Linked DNA regions of Danio rerio. The protein of the gene in region 2 purifies or fractionates together with the protein of the main gene of each other region. This does not show direct contact. Links are inferred from orthologs where the notes say so. Each region holds a gene or a part of one and is shown on either strand. Other genes may lie near its edges. The genes, in order: sugt1, lrch3 and myo6b.

Region 1 (4,150 bases), on a different chromosome or scaffold from region 2:
ACTGATTTCTGTTGTTCTTACCCAACTGCTTTACTTTAAAATTATTAATACCCAGTCCTTATATGATCTCTTAAATTCTTCAAAGAATGACAATATGAAATATTAATAATAAATAATATACCTAGTTAAGAAATAAATAATGAATACATGTAAATATTAATATATATATATATAAAAGAAAAGAAGTCCTTACTGGTGTACTCTTTCAACAGAATATAGGCATAAGCTCGCTGGCAGAGCCATTCAGCATTATCTGCTTTCTCTCCCAATGCTTCATTTAGTTCCTACAATAGGAGAAAGACACATTATTCCTCATGAGAGAGTATTAAGACAAACTACAAGGTAGACGTTATGTTTATTTCTCAAAAGTCTGAATAATAGCATTGCCACAATAGCGGTGTGGTGAATGATGAATCGCAGATATGCAAAGTTGTAAAGGGACACTTATCTCTCACCTTAAAACACATCTAAACAGACATTGCAAGTCAAATCTACTAAATCTATTCCATATTTGCTTGACTAAATTCTGATAGGTTTAGTTTGAAGGGCACCTATTGTGTCTTGGCTGTCCCTAAAATGCCAAGATCATTTATTATACCCTGAAAATTTTTTTAAATGAATTAATTTTCAATAAAAAAATTCATATTTATTAGATTAGGCATCCCCTCATTGAAGTCCAGGACATACCTATCCAAACAGTGGTGGAAAGATTAGTGGAAATCACATTCAAATTTAAAAGTTGCCATTACCTGCCAAAACACTGAGTGCAATTAGAACTAGTAGTCAAATAATTATGAACAAAAATGAAGTATGAGTGAAAAGTATCCCCGCTAGAAATATCCTCCAACCTGGCTGGGGATTTTTACAGCGGTTAGCATTAAGCATTTTGGTGCATTACCACCAACTTCAGCTCCAGAGTGTAAATCAGAGAATATGCTTACAGACTAAAGTAATGGATATAAATAAAGTACGAACAGCTTAAACACATCACGTCTGAATGTGTGCTTCAATATGCGTGACAGTGCATGCATGACACTACGCAACAGGCAGCAGTGAGGAATATTTGCATTTTAAAGCGCCTTATAGGACCTTTAAATACAACCAGAGATGCTGATTTGCTAAGAGTAATCAACGAAACACTGTTACTCCTGTAAACTAAAATGTAAACGACATCAAACGTAAATAAAAGTACACAAATATTATTACTTTTGGTTTTTAAGTAATGCATTACTTTACTCATTACTTGTGATGCACTACGCCCCATACTGGTAATCTGGCAAACTGCTCACAATGTCATAAGTAATTTTAAACGTTTTTCTTTTAAGCTATTTTTAACAGCTGCTACACAAGGAAATATTCTGCTAGACATCAGTAACATTGCGTGTTTAGAGAGAGAGCAAACATCAGACTCAAAGCTGTCAGCAAATGTTATACCAGAATAAGACAAAACAAATAAAAAAATGAATATTTGTAAAACAATAATAAAAAAGTAAAACTATACAAATATATTTTTTTCATTTAATTAATTATATTTAGAATTTTGTGAAATGAAAAAGAGCTAACATTTTAGACATTGGAAAAAATGATGTTTTGTTAGTGTTGATAATGTAGTTTGTGGGAAACTGATGTTGACTTATTATTAGTATTATTTTTATTTATTTATTATAAATATAGTTTGTGAAAAGAAAAACAGAATCTGCAAAAAAAAAAAAAGAAACGGTATCGGCCAAAAAATTGCAATTGGTTCATCTCTAAATCATAGAGTTCTGTGAGTCCGCAAGAGTTTTCTGACCACTGGAGTTGAGGATTTACAACAATCTGTGCAGAGAAGGGTTGTTGCCAGTCACAGCCTACAAAAGCACTGTCAAAATTAGTATTCGTATTTACTTTGTAAAACTTTAGACTTTGATATGAAATTGCATTCCACAGATGTACTGCAACACTACATACCCAATACCGAAAGAAGAAATCCCATTTACCATTTTAAGGCTATTACTATTACATAAAGTACAACAGCATGGATACCAACCCTACCTACGACATCAGATGTGCAAAAAAGATAGCCCAGACATTAAGGGTGGTTAAATGAAAAAGTGGTTAAATGCTCAGTGTTAAGTGTTCAGTGTAAAACGTTCAGTGGTTAAATGATGACATGAATGATCCTTTAAAGATTTTTGAGCACTAAACTTCAACATCTGTAGATTGTGTATTTGCGCATATAAAAATAAGTCCATATTTTTTAGGGCAGTTTATAGCTGTTTTTTTTTCTTTATATTTAATCCAAAACTATGTTTCTTGATTTGATTTGATTTAATTTCCCATGCTGTCCATACTTTTGAATGTTATGTGTCACAATTATATTGTGTTGTTAAAGGAGGGGAAAAAACATAGTTTATTAATAAACTATGTATAATTAAACTAGTAAAGTACAATTACATTGAAAAGCTACTCATTTTTTTGTAATTTTGAGTATTTGTATTATTCAGCAGTAACGTTACATCAGCTCTTAGTAAATTATTACTAAGAGTCATATAAAGTAAGCATAACTGAAGTTCAATAAAAACACGAAACGTTAACGTTAGGCAAACAGAATTATATACATTTAAATAAAAAAGCATACCTCAAGGGCCCTCCTAGGATCCTCATCTATGAAACTGTCAGAGTAACGCCTACAAAAAATAATCACATATAATAACGTATGGCACATAAATTTTATACACACACACCTACATAGATACATGCAAGCATACATAGGCCTACATATATACATACATACAACTGACAAAATTTCGTACCCGCAAGTTGCCATGGGTCCACTCTTCGTACTTCGTACTTCGTCTGAAACCGCAGAAAGTTCGAGAGGGAACAGCGGCGTTAAAGGAAGTAAATAATTGGGCCTGTCAATCCCACACTACTTCCTTGCTCTTCTTCTTCTGATTTTATAGTGGTTGGCAACCAGATTTTTGGAGCATTACCGCCACCATTTGGATTGGAGTGTGGATTAGGAGTTAACAAAAAATAAATAAATAAATTAAATAAATAGGTCATTCCTGGCATTCGGTAATATTTCAGTCCCCCATATTTTTTCAAGTGATTGTTGGCCAAAATGACATTTTAAAAGCAATTTTCATTGATTTATTTTGTACATTATAATGAATAAAAAAATAAATTAATTAATTAAATATATATATATATATATATATATATATATATATATATATATATATATATATATATATATATATATATATATATATATACTGTAAGAAATGAGTCTGCCTCGACCCAACTTCCACTCTAAATGGTGAATTGATGCTCATTTCCCAAAAGGGCTGACTTATGAGAGAAAAGAGAAGTCAACAAGGTCTTGTCTCTGCATTGTTTGAGGTGACTACATCTCAACCAAATGGTAACAATTGTAGAATGGGGATGGGTGTGGTGCACAAAGAACCATCTCATCAATGGTGTTGAAACTGCATTAACATGGAGAGATAGGGAGAACAGCTGGGTCAACAGCCAAGGAGCAACTTCATTAACATCTAAAGGCAACATCAAAAACAGTATAAAGGTTTGAGTTTAAGAATGTTCAGGGTTCATTCTGACTCCGGTGAACCCAAGGTACTGCCATGTATTTTGAGACTGCTATGCTGAATAAACATCTTCATTGAGATTTTCTTCGTCATCATCATTTTTTCTTACAATATATATATATATATATATATATATATATATATATATATATATATATATATATTAAAAGCATTTTTATCTAAAAAATACATATTTCTGTAATCATGTCCCCGAGGCACTTCCTTGAAATTGCATGTAGAAAAAAGTTAATAAAATGCACAAAGTGTCTATATATATATATATATATTGTATTACAACTATTTATTTGTGTTCTTTTCTGGTGATAGATATTTTTTTATTAAAGATTTTTTTCTATTACAAAAAAGCCTACAAAGTTATGTCCCTCAAAATAAGTCACGCTAGCAATTCTTCACCTATAGCATTTTAGACTCCACTCTTAAATGACATCACAGACAGAAAGTGACATCATTCAGCTCTCTTTAACAGCAAATGCAGAAGAAAGCAAGATATATGTTCATTTATTTACATTTTTTGATATTTATTATAGTTAGAAAGGGTA
Region 2 (3,660 bases):
GAGTGCCTTGGGGGTCAGTGCATCTTTTGGTCATTGGATTTTCATTTTAGAAACAGATATTGAAAAAAGAAAAAAACGAGTCGATTTTTGTTTTAAAATTAAAGATGAAAATTGAAATTTAATAAGTTTTTTGATTTTAGCTTTTGAATTTTGAATTTTCTTTTTTTTTTTTTTTTTCATGGTAAAAACTGAAAAAATTAATTAAAAAAATTATTTGGTTTTCATTTTTTTTTTCGAATAACAAAAAATAAAATCACCAGAAAACAAAAACAAATAAAGGCTTGTTTTTATATATTCCAAAACTAGATAGGCCAACTCATTTACGGTGATGCAATGCTGACCTGCTCTAGGCTATTATTTTTTCCCACCTAATAATGTTATAAAAGGTATTTTCTTGTTATAACTGGATTTTGTTAAGACATATTATCCTCATTAAGACAACATATTTTTGTATGAGGGCCAATTATAGGCTATATATTTATTTTTTGTTAGCATGTTGTAAATGAAACAATCTTTATTTTGACATTACATGCAAGCATTACGTTGCTTTACTGAACACTTTTCTGAAAATAAAGTTTTAATATTGTTAAAACCATATTGCTTCTACATCCCGAAGTTTGACCACCAATCATTTCAGGTGAGGGAGGCAGTTGTTCGTTATGCACATTTCAATACGTAATAATATTTTAAAATAAAAGTTGACAGCTAATTTTATCTGAAAGGAGGCATGCTGAACAAACATCATTATAACCATCCTGTGTCTTTTAAAAACTGATTATTACTAAGCTTGCAGATGAGTTGTGCGTGCGTTATCACCCCGCTACAGTGGGTCTATCTATAATTTCATATAGCCATGTGCAAATATAGCAGATTTTTAATACATAAATTGAAATTATTTTAATAATAACCTGCCCTACTGCTATTACATTAAAATCCTGTTATAACAAGAAAACACCTTTTATAACATTATTAAGTGGAAAAACAACAATAGCCTATAGTAGGCTAGCAAATGAGCATTGCATCACCCTATATGAGTTGGCCTATCTGGTTTCAGAATATATAAAAACAAGCCTTTATTCATTTTTTTTTCTGTTGATTTTATTTTTTGTTATTTGAAATAAAAAATGAAAAATAAATTATTTTAGAGTTCTGCTTTTCTGTTTTTTACCATGAAAAAGAAAAACGAGTTTATTTTGTTTTTTTTTTTGCTTTAAATTTTAAAAACAAAAATTAAAAACACATTGAATTTCAATTTTCGTTTTTTTATTTTAAAATAAAAATTTAAAAAACGACTCGTTTTTTTCGTTCTTCAATATCTGTTTCTAAAATGAAAATCCAATGACCAAAAGATACACTGACCCTTGGACATATGATTTTGTATTTTAATTATAATTTTACTGGCTTTTGATTACATAAAAGCTTTTAAACTATTTTTGTCTTCGTGTTATTCTTGTTGTCCATTTTTTAGTCAACTTGGGTTGTATTTAATTGACAATTTCATAAATAAAGTGTAATTGTCATCAATTTTATGCTGAATCAAATTTCATTTTTAACTTTCATTGCATTAAACTGAGCTCAGACATCAAGTTAATCGAATATTAGCCATGAAAACGTTTTATTATTCCACTTATTGCTCATTATTTTTCAACTTTTCTACTAGATTTAACTTATGGTTTAAAGAAAATGTAAGTAATGTAATTTTTAATGCAACGTAAGATTAAATGACTTGTAAAATGAATATTATTAATATGAATATGAACTGAACTACTTTTTACAGCGTACCCATAAAAAACATAACATATAAATGATTTGTGATGCTGAAAGTTAGGGAAAAAATGGTTCTATTGCATGTCATATTACTTAAATGTATGATATATGAAAACAAAAAGCCATACAGGTATATTTTGGACTTGGATAATTTAAATAACAAGCTTATTCAAATAGGTTTCTCAACACAGATGCTTTTAACTCTTAATATTGTGTTAAGATACTATCCAAGGAGAAGTGTTTTTAACATTGATTAAATGCTTCTTAAAGCAGACAATTGGCATATAAGAAAGATTTCAGAAGGATCATGTGATCATAAGACTGGAGTAATAATGCTGAAAATTCTGCTTTGAGCCACAGGAATAAATTAGAATTTAAAACAGTGCTTAACATAAACGAGTACACCCCATTTAGAAAATGAACATTTTTATCCATTTCTCATTGAAGTTAAGTCATATTTTGGTGCATTTGAACAAAACAGATCTACTACTAAACAGATATATTTAATAAAATAATTAAGAAATTTAGAAATAGAAATATAATACAATTAAATTCATGCAAAATATTAAGGAAAAAAATTACAAACTACAAAATTTAAACTACTTTTTATTTAATATTTGTCCCTAACATATACATTTCAGTGTACTCATTTTGGACTATTATCATACGTTATTTTGTTAGATTAGCTCCAGAATTGACCTCAGTACTGACTAATCTAATGTACATATCCACAGATATAACACTGTAAAGCTTCTCATAGAAATGATTAATCTAAAAGAGAGATTTGTGAGGGATGTACTCATACATGTTGAGCACTGTAAACGGAAAACTAATAAAATGTAGTATAATATATCCCAATTTTACAGCTCTTTCTGTGTTTTTGATCAAATAAATATTGATCGTATGAATAACATCATCTAACTGACTGTAGTTCAATATCTTTAAATAGAAATTACTCACACATTTTGCAAAAGTCCCTGTAATCAAATCAATCATTCCCACTCTGAGCACACAACGTGTACAAATGTTAATTTATCAAGCTCTTCTTCCAGAGCAACACTTCTTCCAAAAAAACGGGGCTAATCAAAGTATCAATAGACCCTTTTCACAAGACTGTTATGATGTGTTGAATATTAAATAATTAAGTAATGCTTATGCTTGGTGTTTCTAATGCAGTCTCTATGGGGGCAGGACTGTAAATTTGACTTTATTCTCTCTTCTGGCTAACGTTATCAGTCTTACACTATTTGTTTTTCCTTTTTCTGTAAGCCTTGATAACACGATTGTGGATTTGTTTTTAAATTATTTCAGCAAATAGGCATTTAAAAACAATATTTGTTGTACTCTCCCATTCACTGCACTCTAAGTTTACCCAACAATGCCGACGTCCGCTTCTGAGAAACCTGGAAATGTGAAAAGGGTCCATTGGGTGCACTTGGAGACACTAAAATGTGCATAAACACCAGCTATCCTGTTAACCTTACAAACTGGAACGGTCTAAAGTGTGGTTTAAACGCTTGGCACCAGGTGGCAGTAGATAGCACATAGCAGCGACATGATTGACAAGTAAAAAAGGGCAAATCCAGCCAGCTGGGAAGAAGGGGCGTGGCGAAGGGGAGGCGGAGCCAGAGAGAGCAAGGCTTCGACCAGCCTGAACACACAAACCAGTTCCCCTTCTAACACATCGCCCGCTGAACACAAACTATCCTGAACACAGACCCAAGAGCAGCAGGAGGAAGAAGATGGTCAAATAAAACACAACGAGGGTGTTGATGGGGTGTGATGTGGTTTAAATTAAAGGGGAATGAGGAGAGAGAGAGAGAGTTAGCTGTGTTAACTGCAAGAGATGTTAAAAAGCCTAGTTTTGAAGCAAACATGAAGGAGTTTTATTAA
Region 3 (3,660 bases), on a different chromosome or scaffold from region 2:
GCACACCGCCAAAATATCAGTGGATTGGCTTCTCAACAACTCTGTGAATGTCCTTGAGTGGCCCAGCCAGAGCCCAGACCTTAATCATATTGAACATCTCTGGAGAGTTCTGAAAATGGCTGTACATCGTCGCTTTCCATCCAACTTGATAGAGCTTGAGAGGTACTGCAAAGAGGAATGGGCAAAAATTCCCAAAGACAGGTGTGCCAAGCTTGTGCCATCATATTCAAAAAGACTTGAGGCTGTAATTGCTGCCAAAGGCTCATCAACAAAGTATTGAGCAAAGGCTGTGAACACGTGTGATTTTTCAGGTTTTTATTTGTAATAAATTTTAAACAATTTCAAAAAATCTTTTTCACATTGTCTTCATGGGGTATTTTGTGTAGAATTTTGAGGAAATAAATGAATTTAATCTACTTTGGAATAAGGCTGTAACATAAAAACTGTGGAAAAAGTGAAGCACTATGAATACTTTCCGCATGCACTGTATAGAAACAAAATTATACAAAACGATCTTGTTATATAGATATTTAAACGCATAAATAACTTGTATAATACACATGTTTTAAATCTAGCATAAATAAAAATTTTCTCAAATACATGTATGTGTATTAATACATGCATAATAAATTTAGACAGTACACCTACTTAAATTATGTCAAAGCAAACTTTTTTTTTGTTACGACAAATTTTTGCCCAGCACTAACTAAAAGCTTATTTATTTCGAATTTAGCATGTGTATATTTTAAGACACTAAATGTTTTTGTTGTGCATGCTTAAAAATGCAAATATTCCTGCAATCAAGCGCACTAAGAAAGGCTGTTTGCTTAAGTCATGGCTGTTAGATAGCTTTCATTGCACCAATTACATGACAAAAAATGTCTTCTAGTCTTGTTAAATGATTTCCAGGTTTTCCTGACACACAATGTACAGGAAACTGACCCGGAAGCTGTCGGGGGAGTTGAGATGGAGCATGTTCCTGATGTCCTCTGACGCCCCTGCGCACAGTCTATAAAATATATGATAGTTTCGCTCTTCTTGACTCTGCATGCAAATCCGAGACTTCTCCAGCAGATAGTGAGAGACAAAACCGCCCACAACTGCATTCTGGACACGGTTCACAAGACACAACACACATAGTTAATAATACCTACGTGAAATCTTGTACACTCACACTCTTGTCTTTAGACTATAAAACTAAATTCACCTTCTCATTAAAATGAATTTCCACAAACTTTCCAAAGCGGCTGCTGTTGTTGTTCCTGACCGTCTTTGCATTTCCAAAAGCTTCAAGCAAGGGGTTGGCTGAACACAGCAGAGAAATATACAGTATGTACTGTAAAAACAAACATTTTGCATCAGATGCAAAAAAAGAACATGCAGTACTGTGCTAGACACTTACCTTCAACAATCCTCTCATCTATATCTTGGCCTGTGCCGTAAGATGTGGTTAAATACCTGAAATAATAATAAAAAAAAAACACTTACAGTATTAAAACATGATTACATTAATAATCAAACTGGCCCAAAACAACCCCCAAACTAATTTGCAAAACAGTAACATTATTGAGGACTATAAAATGTTTTTGATCATATTTTATACAAACCGTATTTCAATTAACCAAGGTATTTTAAGTAATAAAGTATTTATTTGATCAATATACAGTAAATATAGTAATACTTTTAATTTTAAACAACATTGTAATTCTATTTTTTATCGTTTAATGTAACATTGTTTAAAATGTTTTCTACTGACTGGTGCTCCAAAGCTTACAGCAGACCTTTTCCACCAGATGCCGTGCCATCTTTGGCGTCTCACAAATTACATCTGCTCTACTTCAGGCAATGCAAGAGTCATTGATGCAAAGCATGGTGGTGGCTAAAAGACTAGTGCTTAACAATTGGAAATCACCTTTATTGGTGAAGAACTGGATTTCCGACATAATATCTGTTGTTCAGAAGGAGAGACTCTGATTTTTAAGAACTATTCGATTCAATTCAATTCAATTCATCTTTATTTCTATAGCACTTTAACAATGTAGACTGTGTTAAAGCAGCTTCAAATAGAAGATTATAGACTAGCTCTATAAGAAAAAAATTGGCTACTTGGGGTCAGTTAGGTTAATTAGGCAGGTTTGGGCAAGTCATTGTTTAATGCCGGTTTGTTCTGTAGACTAGCTTAAAGGAGCTAATAATTTGACCTTAAAATGGATATAAAAAAATGTAAAACTGCTTTTATTCTTGCCAAAATAAAACAAATAAGACTTTCGCCAGAAGAAAAAACATTATCAGACATACTGTGAAAAAAAAGTTCAAAGGAGGGGGTAATAATTCTGACTGTATGGCATTAAAATAAATAAATACAAATGTTTTCTACTGTGTTTAAAAATGTATTTTATTCATGTGATGGTAAAGCTCTTCAATGTCACATAATCACATGAAATCCCTACAAAATGTTAATTTATTGCTCACAAAATCTGATTTTCAATGTTCTCTATTTTTAATAAAAATGTTCAAAACAATAATTTACGATAGAGATTAACTGTAAGATAATAACTGTCTGCATGGTCACTTTGGATCAATTAAATGCATCATTATGCTTAAAAAGTATTGATTTCTTAAAAATATACAATACAAGTTTATTTTGGCATGATTCGTGTGTGTACTGTGTATATTTATTAAGTATATAAACACACATGCATGCATAACCTTGAGAACCCGTTTATTTATATTAAGTTATGAAATAATTTTGTGTATGAGACAAATTGTATATAAATTTAAATATCTATTAAACTAAAAAAAATGTTTGAATAGTTTATGTATGTGTGTATCATATACACGATAAATATATATATATAATACATACAAATATATTATGTCAATACAAACTTTTTTTTGTCCATGCGATTAATCGCAATTAATCTTTGCCCAGCCCTATTATTAATGTGCGTCAACATGATTTAAACCCAACCGTTGCTATTGTTAGCAACAAAATGTAAATACTGATTTATATTTTTAAAGGAGCAGTATGTAAGTTTGACACCCAGTGGTTCAACTAGGTATTGCACTCCTGGTTCAAAACACATGCAAGAGCAGGTTGCCAGATTGACGACACCAACAAAGGCTGGTTTAAGTGGTGTTCTAAATAAAAGCAATGACACGTGATAGAAGGAATATTTTACATTTTAAAAGGAGTTTTTGTTCCAACCAACACATGAAACATGTATTTTAGCAATAGCTTCTATTTCTTGGAGCTGAACAACAGAAAACTGACAATGAATAAAGCATATTAGGTGTGCCCAAGGTGATCAGTGTTAAATGCTAATAATAAGAGTTTAAATGCAATTGTACATGACATGTATTGCCCTACTACTGAAAGCAGCAGCAGATATTTCACCTCAAATCTTGAAAATAAAATAAACCGTTTGAAATTGAACTTAAGATCTGCGATTCAATGGAAGCCCACCAATATCAGTGATTCAGCATGTACATTTAATAATGTTTAAGAGGTTTAATGTGTATTAATTAGATCATAAACCATACCATTTTGTTGGAGTGCAGTGACTGCACTCTGTGCTTCTGATGGCTGTATTTAAATTTCTGTTGTGTTTTGTTTGGTGAAAACAGCCAAAATGCTTATCACTTATCTTGTCAGTGACT

What was found.
Region 1: the proteins of lrch3 (region 2) and sugt1 purify together in Homo sapiens (co-immunoprecipitation; 3 studies listed by BioGRID and IntAct, counting the BioPlex papers as one, with this or other methods). This does not show direct contact. The link is inferred for Danio rerio from reciprocal best matches to the Homo sapiens genes LRCH3 and SUGT1.
Region 3: the proteins of lrch3 (region 2) and myo6b purify together in Homo sapiens (co-immunoprecipitation; 3 studies listed by BioGRID and IntAct, with this or other methods). This does not show direct contact. The link is inferred for Danio rerio from reciprocal best matches to the Homo sapiens genes LRCH3 and MYO6.

What each region holds. Positions count from the first base shown.
Region 1 is NC_133176.1:29,637,585-29,641,734, reverse strand, and holds the start of sugt1 (protein SGT1 homolog), read right to left. Parts: upstream 2,914-4,150; 5' UTR 2,810-2,913; coding exon 2,796-2,809; intron 2,670-2,795; coding exon 2,621-2,669; intron 285-2,620; coding exon 194-284; intron 1-193. UniProt on the Homo sapiens protein: May play a role in ubiquitination and subsequent proteasomal degradation of target proteins.
Region 2 is NC_133193.1:3,768,005-3,771,664, forward strand, and holds the end of lrch3 (DISP complex protein LRCH3), read right to left. Parts: intron 3,475-3,660; coding exon 3,277-3,474; 3' UTR 463-3,276; downstream 1-462. UniProt on the Homo sapiens protein: As part of the DISP complex, may regulate the association of septins with actin and thereby regulate the actin cytoskeleton.
Region 3 is NC_133192.1:38,666,557-38,670,216, forward strand, and holds part of myo6b (myosin VIb), read right to left. Parts: intron 1,459-3,660; coding exon 1,403-1,458; intron 1,306-1,402; coding exon 1,208-1,305; intron 1,108-1,207; coding exon 943-1,107; intron 1-942. UniProt on the Homo sapiens protein: Myosins are actin-based motor molecules with ATPase activity. Unconventional myosins serve in intracellular movements. Myosin 6 is a reverse-direction motor protein that moves towards the minus-end of actin filaments.